3 linked regions of the Rhinolophus ferrumequinum genome follow. The protein of the gene in region 1 interacts with the protein of each later gene in a biochemical or structural test. Links are inferred from orthologs where the notes say so. Each region holds a gene or a part of one and is shown on either strand. Other genes may lie near its edges.

The links. The genes of interacting proteins can lie anywhere in the genome.
Region 2: the proteins of PPARG (region 1) and TRIM24 interact in a test that uses a peptide from one of them, tested with the Homo sapiens proteins (2 studies listed by BioGRID). The link is inferred for Rhinolophus ferrumequinum from reciprocal best matches to the Homo sapiens genes PPARG and TRIM24.
Region 3: the proteins of PPARG (region 1) and GRIP1 form a complex in vitro, tested with the Homo sapiens proteins (2 studies listed by BioGRID). The link is inferred for Rhinolophus ferrumequinum from reciprocal best matches to the Homo sapiens genes PPARG and GRIP1.

What each region holds. Positions count from the first base shown.
Region 1 is NC_046300.1:42,144,522-42,154,216, reverse strand, and holds the start of PPARG (peroxisome proliferator-activated receptor gamma), read left to right. Parts: upstream 1-5,728; 5' UTR 5,729-5,794; intron 5,795-9,695. UniProt on the Homo sapiens protein: Nuclear receptor that binds peroxisome proliferators such as hypolipidemic drugs and fatty acids.
Region 2 is NC_046309.1:10,566,742-10,577,149, reverse strand, and holds the start of TRIM24 (transcription intermediary factor 1-alpha), read left to right. Parts: upstream 1-5,842; 5' UTR 5,843-6,131; coding exon 6,132-6,495; intron 6,496-10,408. UniProt on the Homo sapiens protein: Transcriptional coactivator that interacts with numerous nuclear receptors and coactivators and modulates the transcription of target genes.
Region 3 is NC_046293.1:63,340,731-63,350,791, reverse strand, and holds the start of GRIP1 (glutamate receptor-interacting protein 1), read left to right. Parts: upstream 1-5,495; 5' UTR 5,496-5,705; coding exon 5,706-5,838; intron 5,839-10,061. UniProt on the Homo sapiens protein: May play a role as a localized scaffold for the assembly of a multiprotein signaling complex and as mediator of the trafficking of its binding partners at specific subcellular location in neurons.

The DNA.
Region 1 (9,695 bases):
CGGAAAGGACAACTTTCCTGTCCTGAAAACTATTCTGCTACCCCAAGGTGACTAGTTGTGTACTTGCTACCTCTTGATAGTCACAGGTCAATCTGGTGTGCAAAATTGGTCAATTTTTAGGGGAAAAGGTGGAGAAAATTGATAAAGCAGGTCTAAAGTCTCTCTTTTTTATTCCCTGAAAATCAGAAGTATTTTTGAACCTTTAATGATGTTTCAAACCCTTAAAATTTAACTAGTCTAACTCCAAACTACTCAAACTGCCAAGTGGAATTTCTTTGGAGTTAAATATCATTATTAATTTCATAGGAGTCCACAAATTATGAAAAATAAAATATTTTCAAAAATAAGCAGTTATTTCATTCAATGTTAAAGAAAAGTGTATTATTGAAGAAATGGCCTTAAAATTATGTTTCTTTTAATTTTTCCAAATTATCTGAAAGAGTGCTCTAAGTTGGAGTATTAAGAAAAAATACTAATTTAGTTATAGTCTCCATGTTTTTTATTTTGAACCAATACATAGCTGTATTATACTGTAGCCTAATGATTTATACATAATCAAGTATTAACTTTTATTAAGATGGTCCAGAGAAAAAATTTTTATTTACAGGCAAACACCAACAGAAATAGAATGCTGAGTTAAGCAGAGAGGTAGAGTGAAAAGATCAAGCAATTTGAAATCAGAAGAAATGGGTTACAAGCCTGGCTTTGGTACTTAAGACCTTCAAAATAAGAGACAAGTCATTTGGTGAGGGGCAAAATAAGAGGGGACAGAATAGGGAGAGGAGGAAAAGAGGACCTTAATAATATTTAAAGGTACAGGTAAAATTTCGTAACTAGATTTAAAAATCATGTGTGGGAACATAATAGAGTCATTCAAACAGTAGTGTATTTGTGAATGTCAATGTGTGTGTTTAACCTGTCCAGCATGTTGAACTGGTTATACTTTTTTAAATTTTAAATTAAAATCTTCTAAATCTCCTGAGAATTTACATTGTCTAAAGACTGATAAATGGTATCTCAGATAAAAAGGAGGAGCAAATGTCAGAGCCCCGATTGTACATGGCTGCTGTAGATAAGTGACTCGACTGGATGACTGGAAATACAACACATTAATTTTCCTAAATTCATCTGCAAAATGGTTAAATATCACTATTAATGCCAACATTATTTTGCTGAATCCTTGGGAAATAAAATTTTTGACATGATTTAAAATGTTTGCCTTAAAAAGTAATATACCAGAATTTTTAAATACCTGAGGTCTGTCAGTGGGACTAGTTTAAATATAGTGGGAGTAAAATGGGAATCAATTCATGTACGACCAACTCCCACTACCAGGCCTGTATTTCCTTCCCAATATAACAATCATAGTATGCAATTATGAACCTGGGAACAAAGGTCCCCTGGTTGGAAGAAAAGCAAATGTATTGGCAAATCTCAAATGAAATAAACAACTGAGCATTAATTACAAAAATTAAGTGCCATGGGACCAAACATCAATATTCTGAAGGAGTCCCTGTGGTTGGGGAAAACTGAACCAAGGCACAATCTTCTGTCCCTAGAAACTCCATATGGCTCAGACTGCATACGTATACTGTTGCAGAGCGGAGACCATGTGTTGTGTATCATTTTATCCCCAGCACTTAACAGAAGGTCTGGCACAAAATAAATACTCAATAAATGTTTGTGGAATGAATGAATCTGCAACTGTAGTTTATACAGTGTTATTCCAACTTCTTAAAATGTGGTTAAGAAACACATTTTACACCAACTCATGTTACACACAAATGCACATGCATGTATAACACAAACGTTATGAAGCAACACTTTCTTGAATTCGAGGTATGCTTTCTGATAGTTTCTGTTCTCTTTTGTTCCTCTTTATTTGACATAAAAAAAATGCTGGGTATGACCCATTAAACTGATTTAATAAGCCACCAATGGATCAAGGCCAATAGTTTAAAATACAGATTTATACATTTCAATTTATATGGCTTCTTATATTTATAGGCTTCAGTAACTATATATCACTTTTTTTTAAATGACAAAATTTTTGTATCTGGAAGGGAATTTAGAAAGTATTCAAACCAACTCTAAAATGTTGCACTGGTTATGAATTCCCTGCAGTGGGATTCCTTTTATCAGTGTTGTTTAATTCAAATTTCCCCCGCCGAAAGCAGATTGGCCCTACCTCACACCATACACAAACTTTAACTCAAAATGGATCACAGACCTAAATGTAAGAGTTAAACCTATAAAACTCTTAGAAGAACACCTAGGAATAAATTTCCATAGCTTTAGGTTACGCACTGATATGCCATTCAGAGAAAAAATAGATAAATTAGATTTCACCGAAACTGAAAACTCTTTTGCTTCAGAAAACTCTTGCTTTAGATGACTCCATGGAGAAAAAAAGAATTACAGGACGGAAGAAAATATTTGCAAATTAAATACCTGATAAGGGACTTGTATGTAGAATATACTATAAATAACTCTTATAAATTAGCAACAAAAAGACAAATAACCCAATTTAAAAATGGGCAAAGGATTTGAATAGATGTTTCTTCAGAGGATACACAAATGGCCAATAAGCACAAGAAAAGATGCTTGTATAACTAGTCATTAGGAAAATGCAAATCAAGACCATAATGAGATACCATTTCACACCCATTAAGTTAGCTAAAATAAAAAGACAACAGTGTTGACAGAGATACGGAGAAATTGAAACCTTCATACATTGCTGCTGGAAATGTAAAATGTTACAGCCACTTTGGAAAACAGACTGGCAGTTTTTTAAAAACTAAACATAAAGTTACCATATGACTCAGAAATTATGCAATGAGGTATATGCCCAAGAGAAATGAAAAATATATGCATACGAAATCTTGGACGTGAATGTTCATAGCTGCATTGTTCCTAATAGCCAAAGAGTGTAAACAACCCAAATATTCATCAACGGATGGATGAATAAACAGAATGTGATATATTCATACAGTAGAATAGCACTTGGCCATAAAAGGAATTGAAATACTGATACATGCTACTACTACATAGGTGAGCCTCAAAACATTGTGCTAAGTGAAAGAAGCCAGTCACAAAAGACCTTGTGTGATTCCATTTATATGAATTGTCCAAAATAGATAAGTCTATAGAGACAGAAATAAATGAGTGGTTGCCTAGGGTTAGGGGGGGAGTAGGAGGTTTCTTCTGGGGTGATGAAAATGTTCTAAAATTAGATGATAGTGATGGTGGAACAACTCTGTCAATAAAGTAAAAATCATTGCATTGTACATTTAAAATGTATAGTATTTAAATTTTAGATTTTGTATATTATATCTCAATAAAGCTGTTATTAAAAAAAAAAAAAGAGCAGATCGGAACTCTGGAATGATCAAGAAATAGGATGCATGCAGCACTTCCAGGCCTGAAGGTAGAATGCTGAGCCACCTCAACCTGACTACCTAAATTGCAGGCAAAGAAACAGCGTTTTTCAGTGGTCAATAAAATGGTTTTCTTTGAAGTCCCTATAATAGAATCGTGGCCCTTAGCCTCTTATTTTAGGGGATGAGTGGAAAGATACACACCTATTGATTTAAGCTCTGAACTTTCTTTGAAATGATACTCATCCTCACAAAAAATTCCTTCAAACTACAAATGAAGGCATTCTGCATTAGAGAGCAAAGAACTAGGTAGGCATCCCCAACAAATTAAGATGCTAAAGGACTAGAGAGCATCCTGGGCAAGTAATTGATACGGTTCTTGAAATCAGGGATTTTATTCTCCTTTGGGAGGGCCAGGCCGAGAACAGGATGTGTAGTAAATGCAATTGTTAGAAGGCAAAGAAAGTAAGGCCTCAGGTCCGGAAGACCAGAGGCTTTCTGATTGGGCATCTGTCAACCCCCCTTTGAATGGGTCCTGATGGAGAAAGCAGCAGGAGAAGACGCTGCCCACGGTCTACCCTGCAGATTTATGACGCAGCATGCCCCTGACTACTTCTCAAACTTGAAAACTTGACGTCCCCACACCTAGCGTCTCACCGCTACCCCATGTGTCCGAGTCCCTTCGTGTAAGGAACACTGTTAAAATAATTCAAGAAATTATGTTAATGAGTTTAAGAAATACTTTTAATGATTAAAGCTAAAACTCTGTCACGTTGACTAATGAATACCAGTTTGAATTACAAATGAAAAAGGGGGGCTCTGAAAGTGTGCAGCACCATTAGGATATCAGATAAAAACCAGGTGATCGTAAGTATGCTTTTAACTACTTTTTGTCAAGAATGTCATGGAAAAGAGCAATTGCGGGGCGAGTGGGAATCTCGCAGAGCACTCTGCGAAAGGCGAGACACACTGGCCTGGAGAGGGCGGGCGGGCTCCAGAACCCCACATCCCGGGCTCTACTCTAACGTGACCCGGGGCATCTTTCTGAGCTTCGCCCGGGGCCCTTCTCTGTAAAATGGGACCATTCGGGGCCGCCTCCCAGCGGTGATTGTGAGGAACAAACCGGGCTGGGCGCCGAGTAGGCGCTCAGAAAAGGCAGCCTCGGAGGCGAGGGGCCCTACTGTGCGCCAGGGCGCGGGTGCCGCGGGCCGCTCCCTCCCCGCTCGCCCGCCGCCCACACCCCGCGCCCGCCCCTGGCCCCGCTCGGCCTCGGGCAGGCGGAGCCGACCGCACTCCAGGCCCCTGCGGAGCAGCCGCCTGGGGCGCTCGGTCAGCCGCCGGGACACTAGAGCGGGGCGCCACGCCGCCGCCGCCGCCGCAGGTCAGAATCAGGGTGCCCGGGGGCGCTCCGGCCCACGGGGCCTCGGGGCGGGAGATGCGGGGCGAGGGGAATCGGGGGAAGGCGGCGCGCAGAGGGGTCCGGGACCGAGGAGGGTCTATCTATGCTGAGAGCTGGCGGGGGCTGAGGGCTCGCTCAGAGGGGACCCGGACGGACTGAAGGGTCGCCGCTGAAGGGGTCTCTGGCTGAGGGGTCGTGGGCAGAGGGGTCACGGTCCGCGGGGACAGGGGCTGACAGGTCCGGAGCTGAGGACTGAGCCCCGAGAAGTCCCGGCGCAGCGCGAGCAAACGCGGCGGTGGAGGGCAAGGGCTGCACGCGAGGCGCGCCAGAGAGCGGCGGTCCAGCCCCAGGAGACGCGAGCCCTCGAGTCCTGCGCTGCCCTGGGTGGAGGTCCTAGAGGACCCGGGACCTCCGATCACCGGAGGAGGTGCTCAGGCTTCCGGGAGCGGCTCGCGGGGGACATTGGGGTAGAAACGCGGGATCCCGTGCGTGGCCGTCTGGCGGCCGTGGAGTCCTCTTGCTGGGTCTGCAGAACCCAGGCGGCGATCGCTGTGTAGGGTCGTAGTGACAGTTAAGCGAGGGACGCCCTTGGAGTCACCCAGCCCGGTGCCCTTAAGCTCTCTGCTGACTCTGAGCCGAGTGGAGGGGTGGGGGTGTGGGCTGGAGCCCCCAGGGTCGTCGGGGATGGAAAGTGCGGCTCCCTCTCATCCCCTGTTGGGAAAGCGAGTGTTAGCGTGTTGCAGGCCCCCACTCGTCCGCACAAGCTTTACTACTGCACTTGTAGCCTAACCGAGGTAGGTAATCATGGTCCCTCAGTGTAGGGGGTGCAAGGTGGGTGTGTAGTCGTGGTACTTTATGCCTTGGTATTTGGGGAGGAGCCTAAGGTAAGGAGGCAGAAACTGGGAGTAACCTATCTGCTGCTTTTATATAAGGTCAGTTAGGTAAAGAAGGGGCCTTTACCTCTGCTGGTGAATCAGAAGGCTGCATTTCTAAATTCTTCTTAACTCCCAGTGCTTAGGTGAGTCGGCTCACTGTAACTGCATTTTGCTGAAATGTTTTGGTGATGTATCCAAAATGTGCAAGATAACGTTGATGGTTAATTACATTATAGCGTTATTATTTTGCTGTGCTCTTGCTTTACGGTGAGAATCTAATTCACTTGAGTTTGAGGATAATGGTTGGAAAAATGAAAAATTATTTCAGGAGAATAAAGTAAAACAGCAGTGTGTCATGAAGAAGCTAAAGTTTTTCTTCTTTTCCTCCTTTTAAGCTTGGGGACAAAATGTAAAATTAATTTGTGTAAATTATCATCTGAAAACAAAACCGAGCAAGATGATGAACTGAGTTGTGTGAAACCTATTGCTGGAGAAACTCGATTTTGAAGTACAATTTTAATGTTAGGTGTTTTAATCATTCATGAAACAAATTGTAATGAGTTATTGGGAGAACAATAACCAGCTTACTTTTTAAAGGACCTGAGTAGATTTGTTCGACGGATCTCAGGTGTTCTGTGGCAGTCTTTCTTGTTTAGGGCTAAGTGTTCAATTCCTGGCTGAAAGTAGAACCAACCTGATGGTGCTAAATGAGTTAGAAAACCCTCTGGTATAGAGAATAACATAGACACTCACTGTGGCTTCTCTCTTAAAAAAATACCTTCCACTCCTATGCAAGTTTTATAGAAAATACTCATAGATACTCCCAGTTAGCATGTGGAGTGCTATTTCAAAAGATCCTATTCAAGTTTTAAAACAATTTTTGTGTTGTCTATTTTTCAATCAGATTCACTCTGGAGGTTATATATGTTCCATAGGATTCTTTAATATACAATATTTTAAAACTAATGTGTTAGCCAAGCAATGAAGTCTGTTACAAAACCATCCATTTTTGTCTTACTTTGTACTTCATATAATTTTTCTTCTTTATTTAAATTTCATGATATCTGATACTCCGCTTGCTGATAATTATATCTTAAAATAAAACACCTTAAAATTAACTAGTGACTGCTCAGCCTTTTCTTACTGGAAGAAAAATAACGTGATTTAATTTTTAAATCAAAACTCTTTTTCATATTTAAGTTGGTTTGTAGCTTTTGCAATAACTATTGTAAAAGCATGGCATCAGTGAAGTATAAAGGTTGGAGAATTTCAAGCTAAGTTTTTTGGTCATGGTTTTTTCATTCTTAAATTTAAAAGAATATAATTTCTTTTTTAAATTAAAACTGCAGCTAGTATTTTAAATAAATACACTATTTTCTTTGAAGAGACTAGTTTCCTTACTGTTCATTTCTTTGTATATTTCAGACTTACATTTAAAAGATAAATGATCATTTTTAAAAATCACAATGTTAATTTCAAAATCCCTGTGACATAAAATTATATTATCCCTATATATTAAAATTTGTACAAGAGAAAAAGTGTTACTGTAGGAATTTGCATTAGAAATGCACTGCTGATCATGGCTAATTGCTTTTAATTAGTAAGTAATATGACTATAAGCAAATACATATTTTCTCTCCTCTGTAATTCTCTGAAAATAAGGATGCTTGCCACTAACTTTAATTATCAAGATAATCATGCATGTAATAGCAGTGTGAAAGGCACTGCTATGAAAACATATGCAAGTATTAATAATGCATTTCGTTTTTAAATTGTGAAGCGGTTGTTAATAACTGGAGACTTTCGTGAAATAGGAAAAAAATGTTAAAATAATACATTACAAATGTCTTATATATTCTGGCCCATACTTTTGTTTCTTTCGTAGGCTCTACATATGCCCAATGAATAGAACAGAAAATGTTAGTCATTCTAATTTGTGAGTGTTTTGCTGAATTCATTGTCACTTGAATTTGGAAATATAATATATATCATAGGTGCGGCAAATGTACTGGAACAAGTTTTTGGTCTCATAGGATTCCACTAAATAAATATTAGTTGTAGAGGATGTTTTTTGAATCACTAATCAAGAGCATTTAAGACACCAGTCTATAAGCATAAACATACGCCCCTCCTCGCCTTAAAAACTGTTAAACTGAATTTCTAATTTACTTTTCTTATTTTTTCCTAGCAAATTCCCACGTAAGGGTAGTTGACTCTTGAGCTGTTCCTTTCTCTCTCTTAAGACTAAAAAGTAACAAAAAGAGCAGCGATGTAAAATGCTGACAAAGGTCCTTTAAAACTGATCGATTTGACTTCACAAAAGTACAGTAAGATCTGTGAATAACCATCTTGCAAGCGTAGATAGCACCAACATATCATACTTCAGTTAGTTTCATAGCATTCTAGATAAAAATTTTAAATTTAAGATTATTTGTAATCTTCCTGGGGGTTTCTTATTTACTATTTGTATTTTATCACAAGACAGATGTAGATTTGGGGGAGTTATATGGCATATGTTTTAAGCTTATTTAATAAAAATATCATGTTTTAATTTTTATTTACCTAAAATACTTAAGTAGGTTCTTGTAAGGAAATCCGCTCAAATACAATAGGCCATATTTTGGGCGAAATTTTTGTAGATACTAAGACAACAACTATCACCAATAATAGTATATACTTAAATTATTTTTTATTTTAAAAATGGGTTCATGTAATCTTAATGTTTTTCTTCAACAATGCGCACCAGTATTTTAATACTAAATATTTAATTCAGTATATGAGTGTGTTTACATTTTTAATTGTTTCAGTTATTATAGCGGGGCAAGTCTCTAATCCTTTCTAACTCTCCATTTCATCATCTGTGAAATGGGAAAAGTATTGCAGTTACTGTTCTGTGCTTTTTTGTTTTTTGTATGATTTTTAAGACTTGATCAGCAACCTGTGTATCTTAAATGATATGACGTTGGCCCTGAATTTAATTGAGCAGATATTTTAGAGAACCTTCATAGTTGTCTGCATTATATATAAGTAACTCTTTTACAACTGTTAATAGTTCACCCTAGCACTAATTTTGAGATTATTCTTAAGAGTGAACTGAAGATAATGCTTGCCCTGTGGTGATCAATTTATAAAATGCTTCTGGAAATATTTCATTGTTATTTGATTTTAAATTGTCATCATTCCCTGATGACTTTGGATAAAAATCCGCCTAGTAATTATTTTTGGTTTATTGATATTATGTTTGCAAGTCCTATAGTAGACATAACGTGGACCCTCTTGTGTCAGTATTGTATGTCTAATGTGTCTAGAAGACACGGATTGTGCTTTTTTATATATATAAAGTTCTATTCTGTGCATATATTTATTCTGCACCCTCTGAGTATATATTATAATTTATCCGGGAGCAAGTTTGTTGTATAATGAGGGCTGTGATCCTTTAGATCGAAATATAGTTTAGTATTACAGCCTAAAAAACTTAATAGTGACTTATGCTTGTGGTAAAAACTGGGTGTCTTTCTAACAAGCTGTAACCAAAAAATAGGCTTTTAGTGGCTTGCAACGTGAGTATGCCCCTAATAACCCATCAATTTACTAGTAGAGAGTAATTAGGAAAGCATATAGTTAACCATGCATCATAAATTTTAAATTCTCCATATGAATTGTTAATATGTTTATTATGAATTGTCTCCTGTGCAAGAAAGTAAGGGACGTGTTTCCAGGCCAGAATTCCATTACGTTCCTGGAATATAGAGCTATAAAGCTCAAGTGGGATCATAATTAAAAGGAAGGGGAAACAGAGAGTAAAGAAAGGCATAGAGCAGTGACTACAGGTGAATGTCCATTTTTCTGTGGCTTCCCTTTGGGGTAGGGAGTGGGGAGAGGCATTAACTTCTACTCCCTGAATGGTATAGGTTGGGCTTTTCTCAGTCATTGCTGTACCCTCAGGTATTCCAGTGACCAGGCCCATTCTCAACTTGGAAATCTGTTTGTGGACAGAGTGCAATGAGTTTCCTTACCCTACTACGATTTCTCAGATATAAAGGA
Region 2 (10,408 bases), on another chromosome or scaffold:
CTTCAACGTGTGTATTTTCAGGGGCATACAATGCAGTCCATAACATTCAGTTAAAAAAACCCAAAAAACTAAAAGCGTGTATATTGTGATTCCAATTAAATCAAATTATACCTGTGTTGGTGTGTATGTACAGAGTATGTTTACACAGATAGATTCTGAAAGGATGTTCCCCAATAGTAATGAACTCTGTAGATGGGATTTAGGGAGTCAACGACAGGCATCCTTGGGCTACATTAAGAATAAATTATAGCACAGAAAATCAGGTGTAACTAAATATAGTGGTTGACATATATCACCACATAAAAGCAAGCAAAAGCTCTATAACAAATGAAGATCTGTTTCATATAAATAAAGTTAAATGTAAAAAAATAATAATAACCCCAATGAATGACACTTTAGAAAAGTACAAATGTGGAAATGAATTCTACTATCAAATGAAATATTTCTTGAAAAGTAGAAACTGCTCTGCTATTTCCGTGCTTTATGTTGGTTTATACCTTTTTTAGAAGTTATTTCTCAGGAAAAAACCATGTCATCATTTTCACAGTCCTTTAAGTCTTCTACTTTGGTTCACTCATTCATGTCTCCCTTACTTACCCCTTTCTCACAGTGTCATGGATCTATGGAGTCTCTTTCCAGCTCCCCGTTACTATACTTTTCTTTCCTTCATTTGTTCCCTTATTATCTTTCTTGTTTTCACTCTCTTTTATGTTTCTCGGGCCTCTTATTCACTTACTCTTGATCTATTGAGTTTTTCGTTGCTCCCCCCGCCCCGCCTTTTCCCCCTCTGCAATCCCTAACCTCATAAGGAAACCCAATAAATATGCCTCCACATAACAAGCAGAATACTAAAATGTGGGGCTTTTCTCTGCTTCTAGATATTCTCAGAACAGTCTGCACAGGTATAGCTTCCAGTCCTTAAGTGGACTCACTCCAACTGTCCATAAAGGTAGTATGTTGAACAGACTCATGAATCAATATTTAGTTTACAGGACACTTCATTACTTCTGTCCTTCAAACAAGGGAAAAATATACCTCTGCTCCTGTCATTCCCCAACCCTTACATGACTTCTTTTCCTCTGAATGTAATGTTCTGAAAACATTATTTACTCAGAAGAAAAAAACGATTGCAGAGTGGAGGTGGTGAGAGAAAAGGAAAATCACCAGCAAACATCTGTCCTGGACCTTCCTCTTTTGCAGATGGCTCACAAGAGCCAAACATTTGAGGGGGAAAAAGCTATAACTGAGGCAGATGGTTGGAATGGAACATAGGGTGATAGGACTACAGCAGGAGGAAGAAAGCTCTAGATTTTTGGCTTCCGTAAAATTTGGGAACTATTAAGGGAATACAGAGTAGAAGAGATGGTTATTAGCCGAAAGGAATTACAATCTAGTAGGAGAAATGACAGGCCCTTTGTGTTGGGTGTCCCCAAGACCGCCCTCAGTTTTTGTGATTTGCTAGAAGGACTCACAAAATTTAGAAAGTTTTCCCACTCCTACTTACAGTTTAGTACAACAAAAGGATACAGATCAGTATCAGCAAAGAAAAAAGGTGCAGAGGCCAAGTTGAGGAGAAACCAGGAGCAAAGCTTCTAGTTGTCCATTTCCAATAGAGTCTTACAAACAGCATTTAATTCTCCCAGCAACAATATGTAACAGCCCAGAAACAGTGTTCCCAACCAAGGAAAGTCATCCAAGCCTTGGCATTCAGGACTTAAATTGATGGTCGGTCACATAGGTATACAGCACCCATGGGATCGACCTTAGCTACTCAGTCTTCAGTTCCCCAGAGATAAAAATGACACTGCATGGCAAGAGACTCAGGTATACAAAAAACTGGTGTTAGCCATAAGACATGCCTTCATTAGCATAAACCACCTGGTCAAATGATGGAGTGTGGCCCAAAGCCTCAAACGTCCCAAAACTCTCTTATCAGGTAGGATAAATGTTCAGAGACTATCAGTTAGTCAAGGGCCAGTTCTTTCTTTGGAATGTGCAGGGTTTGAGTAATCCAAGCTCACTGAGTTAATCCTTTAGTGTACCCCAAAATAGTATGTAGGCTATTAACATTAATTAAAAAAAAAATTGAAAAAAACGAAACAAAAAAACCCTGAAGTTTTTATCTTCCTGATAGCAGAAAGCTTCATCTAGTCATATTCTTAATTACTTTAGGTTTTGTTTCCATTTTTGTTTTTTTGTTTTGGTCATCATTTCAGGTTTTAAATCAATCAATACAGCATTCATTCTCCCTTCTCTCTAGACCCAATTTGCAGATCCAAGGGTTAAATAGTATCATGGCATAGGCGGGAAAGTGTACAGAGCATATAAAATATACTATCAACGAGGTTGTTGTTGGATTGAGGTTTGCAAAACAAGTTGCTTCCTAGTAGGAATATGGCCGCACATGTGTGAGCCTGATAAGAATGAAGTGAAAAACATGTTTTTGTGTGAAACTGAGTATCACAAAATCGAGTGATAAAAGCGTTCACCAAAACAACTTCTCGTTATTACTGAAGAGGTAAACAACTCCTGGCAAACAACTTCTGGTTATCACCTAAGAAGTAAATAAGTCCAAGGGAAAGGATAAAGGCAGAACTCCAGAGCAATGCCAGGAGAAGCCCAACTGGGCGCTCCGGCTAAGACCCTCTGCGAGGTGCAAGCTGCGATACCGGAACTCTCCGAAGTTCTTTCTTTGCAAACAAGACCAACTTGACTCAGACCTGTCGTGGGCCCAGTCGTCTCTCCCAGACCAGGGACCTTCTCCATCTCGATTGACTCTGTGACTTGGTTCGTTATTAAATTCTATTCTGTCTTGTATAAACTATGGTGCTTGCCAGAGCATTGGCCTCTGGAGGGACATTGGCTCCCAAATAAAGCTGTGTTACTCACTCTGTCTGAACCTGTGTGTCAAGACTTTGTTCCCCACTTACGTCATGAGTACCATGCAGGGACATAGGGCCCTGCTGAGGGGTTCATGTCCCCTTGACTTTTAGGAAGAGACTGAAATATGGCAATTGCCCTTTCAGGTGCTCGCGACAGAAAGACACTGGATTCTTGGGCATCCTTGGTTCATGGTGGCATACACAGAATGTGCCTTACCTGCATTGGTTCTTGACTGCTGGCATCTCTGTGGAAGCTATTGAGATAATGAGACAGTCTTTGGTCCCTGCACACTGCATCCTTCTTTTCCTAACAATGAAGCCTCAAATCATCCAGGCCTTTCTGCTACTACTAAAGCTACAGGGATCTTTTCCTTGTTCCTGTAAAGCCATAGGAAACTGGGTGAAGGAGTTATCTCAAACCCTTCTTGCTAGACGTGCATCACAGCCTCTGAGAGGTCTACTCAAAAATGGTTTCGTTAAACTCCCCTGGAAGTTCTAAAATTTCTATCCATTACTACCTTTTGAGTGGTGGGCATGAGGAATTCTCACTAGACTCGAATGCTCTTGTTCTCCTTCTCTTCCAGTATGGTCAACTCTTATCTCTGCTCTCAGAGGTGGTTGTAGAGGTGATGGTGATGAAGTTTAGAAAAAGGCAAACCATCCAAAAGGCTGAAGCTTAGAATGGGTATGGAAAACAGTGATGATCCAGACAGGAAGATCAGATAGGGATGAAATGTAGAGAGACTTGGATGCAGTGGGGAGCCATAGAAATTATGGAACAAGAGAGGGGAATATATTGAGAGCTGTAATTAAGGAAGAATAATCTATTGGTAGATCTCTGCGAAAGTTTTACAACACACTTGGGAGAATGACAATATCTAGATAAGAAAATCACACAAGTAAAATAATCTAAAATAATAAATTCGTTTTCTAGACTTAAAAAAAAAACAGAAGCCATATGTATTTGAACAAAGTAAAACATACAATTGTTTTAATTACCTGAGACTAGGAAGTCTAAGAATATGGAAGATAATTTTCTCTAAAACTGATTATCCATGATGACTAAGAAACTAAACTAGTGGGCTGTATCAAATTACATGGAAATCTCTCAAAACAAGCCTCCCCAGTTCACCTCTTATTCTTTCCTTATCCACTACTGTCATCTGCGGGAATAAAGAGCACTTGTCTTTAGTCTGTGTGAATCCTGTATACTACCTCTGTAATGAATTATTAACATATTAAAATCATTAATTTGTAATACAGAATTTGCTTTCATAGTATATGAAGATTTTCAAAGTGCAGCTAGAAAAAGATAGGGTGGAGAATGAATACTGGAGAAGAAGTGATGAACTTTGTCTGGGATGGTTTAGAGGGAGAATAGGTAAGTCTGAATTTTGGGGGAAGGGCATTCTAAAACAAAGGGAAAAGCACATGCAAACCAGGAGGCATTAAAATTAAAGCATGAGAATACTGGGAACTTCAGATTGAGAGATGTATAGGGATGAAATCATGGAGGGATAGGTAAGAAACTTCGGATAGGTCTCTGTTTCTTTAAGGGTAGTCTTGGAGCACCCAGATCACAATTATGAGATGCTACTAAAATTGAATATGGGATGGGCCCAAAGAACCAGCTCTTAAGCAAACTTGCTTGGTGAATTTCATGCAAACTAAAGTCTAAGAAACTAGTACCATACAAAATGAATAGCCCTTGAATATCATTAAGGAGAACTTTGCTCTGAAGGCTTTTGGAAAATGGATTTTATGACCTGTCTGGTAAAGAGTCTGGTAGGAGAGGAATAATTTGGGAAGGTACTGAGGTCTTGTGGGAGGGCTAGGAAGCCTAGAGTTTGCCCCCGCCTCCCACCATGCCATTTTTTCTTTCAAGATCTTTTCAACTTTAAGTTTTTCTGATCCCATACCACTCCCTCAAAGGTCCAGCATCACTTCATTTGTACTTAAAGAATGGCACTTCCATACAATTTTTTTACAGTCTTGTGTATACAAAAGCTTTGTTTCTCCTAACCCGTTTCTATACTTCAAGCTCCTTAAAAGTTTGGCCATTTTTTGAAAATATGTGTAACTTCTAATGTAACTGTGTGTGTGGGGGGGGTTGGAGAATGAAAACAAAAATATTGAAGTTATGAATTATTTGGACATAAATATTGAGTTTTATTTTTATTTTTGGAATGATGCCATATTTGTGCAATAAAGACATTTGCAAACAATTTTTATATATTAAGTCCTTGGAAAATGAACCCTTTTATTCACTTAAAAAGCAAATCATTGACTTTAAAAATCAATTTTCATTGGCGAAATCCTTACAAAATTTCTGACTTGCAATAGAACCTTCCCCCTTATTCTTCATGCTCCATCATTCATCATAGAGATGAGTACCTTCAGGTGGCAAAATCCATGCTGCCTCTACGGTATCGTTTTTTCACATTTTCACAATTCTTTCCTTGTTTGCTCTTCACTATCTCTACTTCACCATCCTTTGACCCTCCCACCATATTTATGCCTTCTACAGGACCCCGGTCTCCAGTAGTAAAACGAGAGTTTTCGAAGCAGTTACTTAATTAACGCGCATACACGGTAGAGCCCCGCCCCGTAGGAGGAGCCAACACAGGAGGACCGAATTAGATGGTCGGTCGTTAACAAATGAACCCTCAATATTTTCAGAGGAGCTACACGCACACAAAGGCCCAATCAGAGGCCGCGGTTCCAGGATTTTGAGGGGCGGGGCTTCACAAGAGCCCTCCCACCTCCCAGCCTCCCGCCGGGACCGTCGGAGCCTCGCGGGCATCGGCTGGCCCCGCCCCCTGGCCTGGCGCGGCGGCTATTGGGCGGCGAGCTCCCTGCCGTCGTCTCAGTTGCTGGGAGAGAGGGCGAGGGCGGGGGCGGATCCGGAGGTGGGTCGGGGGCTCAAGAGAAAAGCGGGGAGGCGAGGGCGGGCTGGGCGGATTCGAAGATCGCCGCGGCGGTTGGCGAAGCGGACGGAGCACGTCCTCCGCGGTGCGAGGAACGGTCCCTGCTGACTGATCCCCTTCTTCCGGCCGCGCCACCCGGGAGGCGGATCCCCGGGGCCTGAGGAGGCTTCCTCGGCCCGGCCCTCTCGCCCTCCCTCTCCCACGGGTCACCCGAGCGGCCTGTGACGACGAGGAGAAGGAGGAGGAGAAGGAGGAGGAGGTCGTCGGGGGCGGCAGCGGGCGGAGACCGCGCTCCCCCTTCGGCGGCGGCGGGGGCAGGACAATGGAGGTGGCTGTGGAGAAGGCAGCGACGGCGGCCGTGGCGGCTTCGGCGGCGGCCGCCGGGGGGCCCTCGGCGACGCCGAGCGGGGAGAACGAGGCCGAGAGTCGGCAGGGCCCGGACTCGGAGCGCGGAGGCGAGGCGGCCCGGCTCAACCTGTTGGACACTTGCGCCGTGTGCCACCAGAATATCCAGAGCCGGGCGCCCAAGCTGCTGCCCTGCTTGCACTCCTTCTGCCAGCGCTGCCTGCCCGCTCCCCAGCGCTACCTCATGCTGCCCGCGCCCATGTTGGGCTCGGCCGAGACCCCACCGCCAGTCCCTGGCCCCGGCTCGCCGGCCAGCGGCTCCTCGCGGTTCGCTACCCAAGGTGAGAGGCGGGCGCGGGGGAGCCCAGGGAGGGCGTCGGGGAGACGGGCGCCCTTGTGCTGCGCGACTCGCTGTCATGTCGCCGCCGCCAGGGGTGCGCGACGGGGGAGGGGCGAGAAGGAGGGTCTGTGTTGGCGGCGGTGACATGGAGGGCCCGCGCTCGCTCTGCGGCGTGCCGCGCGCCCCGCGAGCAACTTCCACGGGCGCCGTGGACTTGTCCGCGCTGCTGCTCCTGCCCCTCGGCATTCCCCTCCAGGGTTGGGTGGCCCACGCGACCCGCACTTTTGAAAACCTCTGTCGGAGTTTGCTGTAGTCTGTATCTCGGGTTCTTTGCCAGCTGCATCTAGTTAACGGCTACCCTCTGCCTCCCCCAAAGCTTTGTCCAGGTGCATACGATCCTAATCATCTCGTCTACACGCACGTTTTTCTGAGCTGGAGTGGGGAGGCAGGGATGAAGATGAAGTGATGGTGACTTTCTTTGATGACTGATTACAGATCAGTTGCCGTCTATTTTCTGTCTTGTATGTTTCGTGTTCTTTACCTTCCTAAGAACCCAGTTCTCTTCCCCTCTGCTGTGGACAAAGGAACTAAGAGGCGGTGTTTTGTTGTCTTTCTCTTTCGAAGATTTTATTTTTGAAACGGTAAAAGGTAAAGAGAAATAGAACAACGTGATTTGGGATGCAGGATTTTTCTTGTATTTTGTAGACAGCAGCTGGAAATGTTGAAGTTACTGTTCTCTTTGTGGTGTTTGTTTCTGTATAACAAGACTTTTGACAGGTAGTTCCCATTGGTAACGTTAACAGGTTTGAAACATTTAAAGTTAGTCAAAGTAAGCACAGTAATTCTTTTTCTTGTAGAATACTTGAGGTTTTTAAATTTTAGTATTGCAAATATTTGAGCTCCTTCTCTTAAAAATACAAAGTAACTGGAAAAGGTGGGATTATTCATTTCTAATATTTGCTTCCTTTTTAGAGGGACTAGTAGATTTGAGATAAAATGCTAATTAAATAATTGAGCTAAGTCAAAGGGTATGTGAAATTAATTAATGCTTTAAATAAATGGTCGTGTTAGACTCCTCATTTAATTATATGCTAGAAACAGTATCTAGTGGAGGGAGACAATTTTCCATGGGTCTTTCTCTGTTTCTGCAGGTCCTGCCAGTGGTTACTGCCCTTTGTTTGTATTTTTAAGGGATGTTTGTGTAAGGAACAGTCTTAGAAGAGTGTCTTCCATCAGAGCAAAGAGCAGGCATGCATATGGTCCAGTGGAATACAAATAAATGTCTCCTTCTGGAGTAAAAGGCAGGCATGCTTACTGCTCATCATAAAAGATTGGGGTTCCCTAAGCTTAGGTTTCCTCTCATGTAACAACCCATTGCCTGTGCAGGTGTCAACTGCCTCTCTTCACCTTGCCTGGTAAGAGCTGGGACTCTGGGAACCAGTGCAAAAATGTTGGTGCTTTGGCTTACGCTATTATTGTAAGTAATAAAATGCCCTTTGTCTGTGACTCCTGAGTCTCGTGTTTTCTACTAGCATCCGTGGTAAGCTACTTTGTTAGCTTGTGGTAGGGAGGATAAAATCTCAGATCCTTCATACTATTAGTTTGGTGCAAAAGTAATTGGTTTAAAAGGTTAAAAAAATAATTGCAAAAACCGTAATTACTTTTGCACCACCCTAATAGTTTGCTCAGATGTGGCCCACCTGTTGGAAAGTTAGTACAAGTGAAACATCTTAGTTCTTAATTTTTAGACACATTTTAAGGTTTCTTATATTGCTATTTTAAATGGTTAAACAGGCAACTAGCCAATTAGGATCTGAATTTTGCATAATTCTAGAATTAAGATATATTGTGTGCCTGGCCATGACATGCAGACCTGAAGGAATGAGAATTTGGATAATAAAATCTCTGATCCTCAATTCTGAGACAAGTTTGTAATTCCAGATTTCTCAAAATGTTCTATATAATCCCAGTCCCCAACTCTTTTTTATCTTTGTATTTGTATTGTAAGCAAGAGTTCAAGGAAAGCATTTAAATTGGAAGATAAATGTTTTTGTGTACTAAGAAAAAGCATTAACAAATGATACTTGCACATACACCTCAAAAAAGTTAGGGTCATTTGCAATAAATTGAAAATATTTTCCTGAGTCTTATTGACTGGGATATTTTCTCCCCTCTCTCCCTGCAAACTTATTTTAATACCAGCCGAAACAAAAGTTTAGACAATACATTTTAGAACTAAATAGATAGGGTTCATTTGATCATCTGTTCCTCATTCTCCTAATGAGCTTGTGGGTACAGGCATCATGGATCAAACTACAATACCTACAGGGGCTAAGCTGGTAATTGAGATGGAGAACTAGGAGCCTGGGGTTAAAATAATGGGGAGTGGGGGCCGGGGGCAAACTAGGCTCTCACGGATTCTCATGTGAGTGCAGGGCCAGTGTTGAAGGATCTTTTTTTTTTTTTTAACTTTTATTATGAGAAGTCTGAAGTCTGGATTTTTGTGTAAAATTTCTCTAGAAATTTAGATCTTGGCAGGTAATTAAAAAACCCACACAGGGCCCATTCTATAGACCAACAAAACAAAACAAACAGAAGAAACCAGTTTGGTTTAGGCCACATACCATGCTGCAGTTACAGTCTTCCCTTTTAGATTTAGATAGGGGTTTTCAAATTTTAGCTCTTCTAGAATCACCTGGTATACTTGTTAAAAATTGATTTCTAGGCGCCTCTCCCCAGAGAGCCCGATTTGGCAAAGATACAGAATTCTAGAGTATAACAGTAAACCCCAGTGTTTCTTTAGTTCAAGCAGTATTACATTCAAAAATACAGGTGATCGTAAAAGGATTCTTTAGAAAATTAAGACGGAAATTCAAAGCGTAGCGTAGTAGTTCTCAACACTATCAGACCTAGTGTCCCTTTCTAGTATGTACTTTTTGGTGTTCCCTGTATTATCCTAAATGAAATTTATAGAAAAGAAATTCTTAACACATTTAAATATCAAAATCAACACAATGCTTTAACTTTTAAGAAAGAAAGCTAATTTGTAACAAAAAAGTATTATAATTTATAAATGCTCAGACGCAATTACACTAGCCACCATGCCCCCATTGAGAACGTTGGTCTTGTTGACTGGCCAAATAATTCTCCAGATAATCCTCCAAAAGAAAACGGTTTATTTGGAAAAAAGAAAAAGGAACAGAACCGAGGAGTGCATGCACACTTGCCAGCAGGGCTTGCCCACTGGCCACCCACGTGGGAAGAAGAGATGAGCCCAACATGGCGCCCCTCTTTATTCGCATTCCCCGCTCCTTCCCCGGAGGTTACCATAGAGTTCAACAGGAAGTCAAGACGAGACAGTTAACAAAGGGCCCATCTCCGTCCTTAGTCCTCCCAACTCTATGGTTAAGCGACTTAAGATGTCAGTTCACTTTCAACAGTGTAAACTGCCCTTTTCTAAGGCTACCATTTGGAAGGAATGAGGGTGAGGGACCACAAGCTAAAGTTGGATGACTACCTCAGCCCTTGTCATTTTCTTAGCATGCAGTTACATCCAGGAAAGAGGGGAGAGCTTAGAAAACAGATTTTCTTTAGGTACATTATAGATACATATAGCTACATTATAGATGATAACATAGATTTTCTTTAGGTACGTATAGATCAGGAGACAACCTGATCTTGGAGAAATGTTAGAACATTGTGCAATATTCTGTGGTGGTGATGTACCGTTCAGCCAAAGAGTAGCAAATTACTAAGAGCTATTTTTAAAAAACGCTTTCTAAAGCATACTTTTGAAAGGGGTCACATTATTTTTCAAGACAGTATAAGAGAATCCATCAGTTTTCTTAGGCTACTACTTGGCAGTCTATAAGATAAGTAACTGTCAGTTCTGAGAGCTGATTTCTTTTGGTTCT
Region 3 (10,061 bases), on another chromosome or scaffold:
AATAGATTTTAATTTTTTTAGAGCAGTTTTATTCACTACAAAACTAAGCAGAAGGTACAGAGATTTCCCATGTACCGCCCCTCCCCCCTCCCCCATCACACATGCATGGCCTCGTTCATTATCAACATCCACCCACAAGAGTGGTATATTTGTTAGGATCCATGAACCTATATTGACACATCATTATCACCCGGAGTCCATAGTTTACATTAGAAGTTTTTCTTGGTGTTGTGTGAGTGTGGACAAATGCATAATGACGTGTATCCACTATTACAGTATTATAAGAGTAGTCTCGCTGCCTTAAGAACCCTATGTGCTCTGCCTATTTCATCCCTCCCTCCCCGCAACTCCTAGCTCCGCTGATCTTTTTACTATCTCCATAGTTTTGCCTTTCCCAGAATGTCCTATAGTTGGAATCATACAGTATGTAGCCTTTTCCAATTGGCTCCTTTCACTTAGTAATATGCATTTGAGTTTCCTCTATGTCTTTTCAGGGCTTGATAGCTCATTTCTCTTTAATGCTAAATAAGATCCCATTATCTGATGTATCGCAGTTTATTTACCCATTCACCTACTGAAGGACATCTTGGTTGCTTCCAAGTTTTGGCAATTATGAGTAAAGCTGTTAGAAACATCCGAGTGCAGATTTTTGTGTGGACGTAAGTTTTCAAAATCTTTCCGTAAATACCAAGGAGCTTAGTTAATGAATTGTATGGTAACAATATGTTTAGTTTTGTAAGAAACCAACTGTCATCCAAAGTTGCTGTACTATGTTGCATCCCAACAGCAATGAAGGAAAATTCCTGTTGCTCTCCATCCTTGCCAGCATTTGATGTGGTCAGCGTTGAAGATTTTGGCCGTTCTAATAGGTGTGTATCATTGTTGTTTTCATTTGCATTTCCCTGATGACATATGATGTGGAGCATCTTTTCACATGCTTATTTGCCATTTGTCTATCTCTTTTAGTGAAGTGTCTGTTAAAGTGTCTTCAGCCCATTTTTTTAATCAGGTGGGTTTGTTTTCTTATTGTTGAGTTTTAAGCATTCTTTTAGTATTTCTATATTTTGTTCTTTGTATATTTTGGGCAACAGGCGTTTATCAGATGTGACTTTTGCAAATCTTTTCTCCTCGTCTGTGACTTCTTTTCATTCTTTTGACTTGAGATATTTTTCACAGTTTTAATATAAATGAAGATACTAATTTTTACTGCATTGTCCGCCTGTGACTCTACCTTTTTATTTTGTCTCTATTGTATGGAAAGGCTCCTGATCATCTCTGAAATTTGAAATTGCTTCTTAGAAGTAGGTGCAAGGATCTAACTATATCATCTGGTATGGTTGTAGCCACAGATTTACCAATTTAATACATATTATTGAAATACACTTAAATATGTATTTTATTAAGGAATTTTATGTTTAACTTATATGTACCTGGGTCACATGATCCATGAATTTCAGTTAGGCTAGTAAAGGGGGGTATTACAAATCCTTTGCCACAGTCAAGTGGTGTTGGGTCTGACCGGATGAAGAATGCTCTAATTGTCCGTCAGGATCCAGTGTTTTCCCTTCATACTCTGCCACCCTCAGTATGTCAGTGTCGCTGCTCTTGGTATCACAAGCAAACACTGTGGCATCTAAATAAGGTCCGATTGATCCAATATCTCAAAGAGTTTTCTAGTAAACTGTGTTCCATTCTGCTACTCAGAAACTACGGTAACTATTACTTAATCTAAATATGCACATACGAGTCCTACTGACTCAGTGATCTAGGGAAGGTTGTAAATTGGAGATTTAAGCTCAGTAGTTGGTCTATTTCTCTTTTCCTAAAAGGGGATGGAGAATCGAATTCAGAAGCGTATGGAATCCATGTAAGTGCTATTCAGGAAATTGCTTACTTCCTAGAAAAAAAAAAAGAATTCGCTTTTCTTTTCATTTTTTTTAGTATTTGCTATTCTTTATTGAAACACATTTTGTTGAATAATTCAACTTGCTTTATTTTGTCATATGAACAATTTTTTTCTAAGAAATTTAATTTTATAGTTTAGTGAACATTGAGCACAACTAAAACTGATTTGTCATAATAATTTGTTTTCTTTACATGAAAATATAAGGGAACTGAAATTTCTCTTAAAGAAATTAGTGTTTTGGAACTGGCTCATCAGGACAGTACCTCAACCATGGTTTACAAGCATAAATGCCTTCAGGGGGCAGGTGGTAATTGAATGAGAGAATGGGACCCAGGGGAGGGGGCTGTGGCTAAGTGGAAAGTGCATGTTTATTTATGGGTGGCAGCCACCACTCAGCTCTGATCAGTAGTTGCCATATTGGAATTGGGCCCAGAGTTGCCAGATCTTTTGATTTTTTTTTTTTTAAGAAAAAATCAAATGTCTGATCTGTGAAATTCCTGACTTTTAATATTGGTGCAGCTTAAAAGGAAGAAACAAATAAACAAAACAACACTTATGTGAGCCAAACCAAACACAATTGTGGGAGATACTTGTTCTGTGAACTGCCACTTACAACCTCTCAACTAGCCCATCTGTTCAGACTGAAGAGTGCAATAACTGGTGAATAGCACCACTTACCACTGTTTGTGCTGTGAGGAAACAGGGCGGTTCTCTACAGAAATGGTTGTAAACGTAACTGAATGGACTTGAACTTCACTCTATTCATTTGTCAATTAGTATTGGGATATTAGCTAACTGTTGTATAACCACAAGTCATTTTAGATTTTAGATTGGTGCTCCATTGCTCAAACATTAAGGATTTAGGATAGAAGACAGGAAAAAGTCAGAGGTGTGAACTCAGGAAGTTTGATTAAAGGATCCAACACACCTGCACCAAGCCTCAGGCAGAGAAGCAAGTGTCTTGCCTTCTATCTTTTGGATTGTGACACATACACACATGCTTCCTCTCCCTTGCATGGGACATGGCCACATTCTTTCATTCTTTGTGACCCAAGCAGACTTCCTCTAAACATCAAATTCCTTATTCCCTCTTCCTAACCATCTGTGATTGTTTTAACATGGCTGTTACCTCCCCTCCTGTACCTCTCCAAGTGCATGGCTGAACTTTAAACTCTTCCCTAGCACTACCAAACGTCCTCTTATATAAAAATGTTGTTATTATAATCAGATAGTGAAATGTTAACCTCCCAAATAAAATTCTTCAAAACTAGGAAAATAATAGAAAGGTGCTTTAAGCATAATCTCTGTTTACTTTTGAAAACAGTTTTGTATGTGGACAGTTTTACTTTGCATTAGTTCTTATTCAAAATAGTTGCTTATCACTAGTTGAGAAATTCTCAGGGTCTTTGAATACTGAAATTACAAATCAGTAAACTGTGGTGGAATGTTTTAAGTTGGTCTATACACAAATGATCTTCTCTCTAATCAAGCATCATCTGTTCTATCGTGTCATTCCATTTAGATCAAATTCGGAGCTTAAAACTATAAAATTTAAATAATGTAGACTCCACTAATTTAGGAGCTGTAGTAATTCAGAGGTAATTTGAGTGAAATTTGTTGCCTGCATAATCTCTGAGGACATATTACTCACATAAACCAGGATATATGCTTAGCCCAGTTAAAAACTATTATTTTTAAACTCCATTTCAATTGCAAACTCACATAGACAACAATGAATCACTGAATGCAAATAATTCTTAGGCAAGATAATCTCTGAATTTGTATGAAAAAATACCTGTAGTAGGTCATACTTGGCAATGTTACCTTTGTGATCTTGGACAAACCACTAAAACATCTTTAAACCTTCTTTTCTCATGTATAGAGGTAGCACCTCATTATAAAGGTTGTTAGGAGAATTAAATGAAAAGGCTACGTATTATTATTTTTTTTAGTGACCTATTCAAGGACTAGACTCCAGATCTTCAACTAGAACTTCCAGATGTTCTAGTTTATTTTGGTTGAAGGAGTCAGAATAATAAAGAAAAGATTTGGAACCTAAGGACAAGTGAATTTTGTTTAAAGATGTTTTTAAGACATTTTATAGTATTTTTTTGTCAATATCATTAAGTTTGTGTTTCTCTTCACAAACTCACTGGCAAGGCATAAAAAGGGGGGACTATAGAAATAGGGCGAATTCACTGAATCTAACTTTACACATTTCAGAGCTGAAATGTTCTTAGTTGATAAATATTTATCTCTTAAGTAAATGTCTCCCTACTCCAGCATTAGTAATTAATACCTGCAAATAGAGAAATGCCTAAATCTACAAAAGAGACAAATTGCCTGTGAATCTAACAGACAGTGCTAAGTGCAATCACTTCTTTTTGGGATGGTCCTATAAACTTGACATTACATAGATATTGAACGACTCATACAGTAAGCAGCTTTTAAAATAAAGTACATTTCTGGGACCATAGAGTTGCAGCATATTATTAATTTAGTAGGTAATATGCTGACATATTTGATTAATTATAGTGTAAACAAATTCCATTTTTCCTGATGTTAAAAAAAATGTATCTATTTAAAGACCTGAAGAAAGAAGCTAGAGAGGAAAAGATTATCCACGATTAACGCTGACCTGTCTGGATTTTGGAGTACCTCTTTGGTCTAGTCTGAAGTATTTCTGATTGTAGTACTTTTAAAAAAAAAAAAAAAAAAAGAAGTTCTGATTTTAGAGACAAAGGATGAAGAGGGTGTGAGGATTTTTAGAAACGTCTCTCCCTCCCTCCATCTTCACCAAGAACTAAGTTTTATTTGCTCTTTAGCCTGTTTGTTTTCCTATTTTTTTTAAAAAAAATGTAACAACTCAGCTAGATTTTTATTTGAGTTCGCTGTAAGCAGAATTGGATTATTTGTATTTCTGTTCCCAAACACCACGCAGTTTCCTTTATTTGCTGATTGTGGTATGCTGTTACTCAGCCTATGGGGAAGCCACTCTGTGAAGCGCATTTTAATATTTAGATCAAAAAGTGGTTGGAATACATTAATGCCCAGTGGGTAAATGTGTCATTTGAAAGCAGCTGCTGAGCCTTCTCCCTGCTGCTCCAATTAACACATACCGCACACTTTTGTCAGTAAGAGGCAGTGCGTATGGATGAAACCACTTTGCGCTCATTAGTACGATATGCGCCACAGAGCACAAAGGGTTAATCCGTCCGCCCATTGCAAAACAACAGCTTTCCAAGAAGCTCCCCCAAGCACTGCACTTTGCTTCCACGGGTGCTAGAGGAGGGGGTGGGATTAGCAGGTACGAAAAAGTCCGTTGGGTCTCTAGCTTTGGTTCAGTCCATTTACTAGTACATTTCCCCGCCCCTCTCTTCTGCACCCGCGCCCCTGACGATGGAGATGTTGGATAGTGAAATTCTAGTGCTGGGACTTCTCCCCCCTCAGCTGAATCTCTTGTTGAACTTTGTTCTGTTTTGTTTGGAAGCTGTTTGAAGCCCAAAGCTTCGCTGTTTATTTTTTCTCTTAGTCTTTCTTTTCATTTTACTCTCTCTCTCTCTCTTTTCTTTTTAAATTGCACATTTGGACAGTGTACTGCACAAAATAAGAAATCTGGTCAAGACAAACCCATATCGCTCTTATTTTTACCCCCTCCCATGGCTAAAATCTCCGCGCTGATGGTAGCACAGGCAGATGGAAGGGTAGCGCTTCCCAGCCCCAGGTTCGGTGTTGGCCATTCATGCTCCACCAGTTCCCCCAGCAGCTGAGCTGAGCCAGGCTGCACCGGCAGGGAGAGATGGACCGCTTCCTGGGTTTCGTCAAGCAAATAAGAAGATCTAGGAGAAGAAAGGGGAAAAAGTACCGACCAGAAGAGGATTACCACGAGGGCTATGAGGATGTCTATTATTACGCTTCGGAGCATTTTCGAAGTAAGCGCTCCCCTCCACCCTCCGGTTCCTTCTCTCTTGCTGGGGCTAACAATAAACCTTGTGTGGAGCTTTAATCTTAAATGCAAAAGGTTTCCAGATGGTATTGTTGGTAAGCAGTCTGTAAGTACTGAATGCTGCATTTTGATGATTTGTTGCAAGAATAGCCATCAGATAGCATCTAGACAATATAACTAGGAGGTCTATACACATGATGAGTATTTCAGGTGCGATTAATTGATTATGTTACCATTTTTTAATGAGCCATTCACACATTTATCTTGCAAGCCAATGTAGTATGTGGCTAAATGTAGTAGGTGGTTCTGTCGGAGTTGTTTTCAAGTAACTGCTTTTTTGTTCTTTCAGAATAGGGAAGGCTAGCTTATTTGGAAGAAATACTTGTTCATGTTAAAGTTGATACTGATGATTAATGCTCCTGATACAGATTTCCAGACAGTTATCTGTGATTACTCTTAGGTGTTGTTTGTACAAGGAAGTTGAAATGCTTTCCTCTGATGCATGTTTATAATTTTGTTATTAAATTAAGGGAACTCTTTATTTGCTGTCAGTTAGAGCAGTGATACCTGTCGAATAAAATAGTATATCCATCTGAAGACATTTGTCAATTAGCTTCTAAATAGCAGAGAACTAGAATTTTCCTTGTTCTTATCAGTCCTTTAAGTTTCAGTGAGGTTTACACTTGTCATAGATTTAAAATGCCCAGAAATGCCTCAGGGTGCGGAGAGAAAGCAGTGACCACAGAGATCACTGAGTTTACGAGGTGCCCTAAAATCGGGGAACTGACAGTTATGTCTGATCTACATTTACAAAATTAAAAATTATTTTTAATCTTCTTGAATAAGGATCTTTATAAACTTGTATTTCAATTCTAATTCTCCATGGTGTTTTGATGTCTAATTGTAATATATCCCATTTACAGCTTCTGAGCGTTGACTAATAAATAATTTAGAATTCATTTCTGTGGTATTGAAATACATGAGTATTAGGTCTAAATGCCAGAAATGCTGCTGTGATGGATGAAAATTGAGAGTTGAAAAGTCATGTGGTGGCAACAACACAACAATTCAAAATTATAATTCTTTGCTTCAATAATATGGCTATGTGGCTTTTACAGAGTAATCTGAGTTTTAGAGATGTTTCTTTTCTGCAATGAGTTTGACGCAAATAATCTGCTCTAATGTAGTGACAGTCTGTGTTTCGTAAATTTAGTTTTCATAATATATTCAAGAATTTAAGATCTTGATCTTGTCACATCAAAAAATACTGTCAGCTTGCAAGCATAATTCTGAAAACCTGGAGATAAAAAAAAGAAACTTGGGAACTTTTAATTATGTTGATGCTCATTGTACAAATTTCTTACAACATATATATATACATATATATGTGTGTATATATATATGTATATATATATACACACATATATATAATGAGTCAAATTCATATCTTCTTGCGTTTCCACTGTGATGTGTTTGTACAAATAGAATTTTTAAAACTCTCTCTCAAATGCTTGCACCCTACTAGTTTTGGTAAAAATTTAAAAACAACAGAGATACTTCATAAGGGTACAAAATGTGCCTACAAGAAAAAATGTTTATGGAGATACGTAAAGAAACATCCCCAAACTAGAGTTTGGAGAATGATACAGCTAAGGCAGGAGTCTTTATACATCAAATGCAGTAACGTAAAGAGAGTCATCATGTCTTAATTTATCTGATTTGTCAAAGTCATGCTAAAGATAAGATGCTAACATCAAATGTTATTTCCTTTAGATGCAAAACTGACATGTTCTTGCCTGTGATTTATCAGAAAGCACCCATATGTAATATATAACTCTATGGAGTTAGATACATGTTGAGTTGCCAACTTCAAAAGGCTATATAGTAAACAGAGTATGTCACAATGGATGCAGGTACTTGGAATTTGGCATTTTATCAAGTGTTAAATAGCCAGGGCTTTTAAAGAAGACATGTCATGTAACATAATGACCTCTCAGTGCATCTATTCATTTCAGTTTCAGGGACTCGCTGAATTGGACAGGGGAGATATCCACTTATATTTTATGGCCGTAGAAAAGTATTAAAGGGTGAGACTGATCCTTAAAACCAATCCTCTCAAATGGGTACTATGGTTTAATCCAATTACATTTATGGTGGTGTATCTATTTTAATTAGTCTTTGGCATAATTTGAACGTTTATGCTCTATATTTCCCAGATGCCTTAGAAAAACTATTTACATTAAGGTTTAAGACTCGGTGGAATTTACTGATGACATTCACGTCTTAGTTAATGGTGCTATTGATAAACCAGAAGTGTCATTGCTCTTATTTTTCTCCCTACATTGTTTGTTTCTTGAAAGAAACTTAACTCTCTGTCTTGTCAGTTTATCCAGTGGTTCAGATTACCACAAGCACTTTATACATGTAACAATGAAAGACTGAGCTAGAAAGACCTCAGAAAATTCACCAGTAAGTATGCCCTTCGTTTAGTACCTTCTCAAGTGCTTACTGAAATTTAATTTGATCTCTAAATAATGTCTCCTCTGTGGTGGGTTCTGATTTAGAAGTTCACCTTCCTTTTCTTCATCTTAAATACAACATGCTTAATAATCTCCGGAAATGCCAAAGCCTGAATTAAAATGTCATTGGGTCTGATCCTATGAAAGTGAAGTTCTTCTAAATATGGATGATTTTTCGGTAACTCCATCAAAACCGAGTTTTAAATAGTGGTGATGATGGCAGACTGATTTTTAAATATTCCCAGATTTTATATGGACTTGATGTATATCATTGTGCATGGGATGACTACTCTTTGATTTTTCAAAAACCTGCTTACATCACTCATCTATCCTTTCATAGTTCTAGAGTTAGGGCTTAATTAAACTAGAGAACTGCTTTGGGCAAATTTCCAAACATTTCTGGGTTTTCACAGGAAATGAAATTAATTCTCAAGCTTTCTAACTTCTAGAACTAAACTTTGTTTTGTTTCTGAAACAATTAGATAAACATATTGGCTGAAGGATTGTAACTGGGATGTAAGCCAACAAATTCACCTGGTTATCCAGAGGGAACTATTTTTCTGTCAGGAGTTGTCAGTAGGGAAATTTCTGTTCCTTTCTGATAATAATTTATCATTGAATATTAAGGAGTTTGGGAGGATGTTTATAAACCCATGAAATTCTGAACATGTTGGTAAATCCTAGACTTCATCTTTTATGATGTTATCTGCCAAGAAGCACCATTTACTCTGAAATTCTCACATAGATGAGTCAGTTGGTATTTTTCCTTAAGAAAAACTGACACAGATTTACAAAACTGATTCAAATGTAACAAAAAGCTCAGAAAGGATCCTGAAATTCAATTTTATTATGTTTGATGCTTTTATTTGTTTTTAACTAAATACTGTGTTATAGCCATGTTTTTTTAAAGATTCTGGCAGATCGTATTTTGATTCATCTGTTACATAAAAAAAAAAAAAAACCCTCTTGACCCTATTTTATGTATATTTTTATTTAGCCACACCTGATAATATTCAAGTTATAAAACAGATAATGTACATTCTATAAGTGTACTCTTAGCATTCTTTATATCTATGATAGAAATCCTAACCTGCTATGGTCCATGCAGGGCTTTGAATTACTAAAAAGGGAGGAATATGTTTATCTCTTAGGAATAGGAATATGTGAGTCGCTTTCACTTAGGGTCCTGGCACCTTTTGCATGTGTGTAATGATTGAATTAGGCATGGAGTTCCTCCATGCTAATCGCCCTTCTCAGTTTTCTTCCTGACTCACCTAGGTGAGAGGAAAGTTGTGCGGGGAAAAGCTGCTAGGGCAGTCATTAGTGACCCATTCTTTCACCTTTCCTACTGAAGTCCTTTCAGGGAAACTAGGGAAAGGGGGGATCGTGAATATATGGTTTAGACCTTTTGAGAAAAGGTCATTTGTATTTGCAAATTATTTTATTGTTTTGTTGCTTGCCTATTCTAATAGATAAGTGAGCAACAATTGTAATGTGTATGTATAAAAACATCGTTAGCTAAGTTACTTTGTTAAACAATGCATGCATGTAAATCCCTAGTTAGCCAATTTAGGCTTTAAAGTGCCTGAGATGTTCAAATTGCATTTTAAGAGGGATGCTCACTTTCTTTTATTTCACTGAAAAACACCCTGCATTGTTCTTCTTGGAGAAGAAACAATTTGGCAGAAGG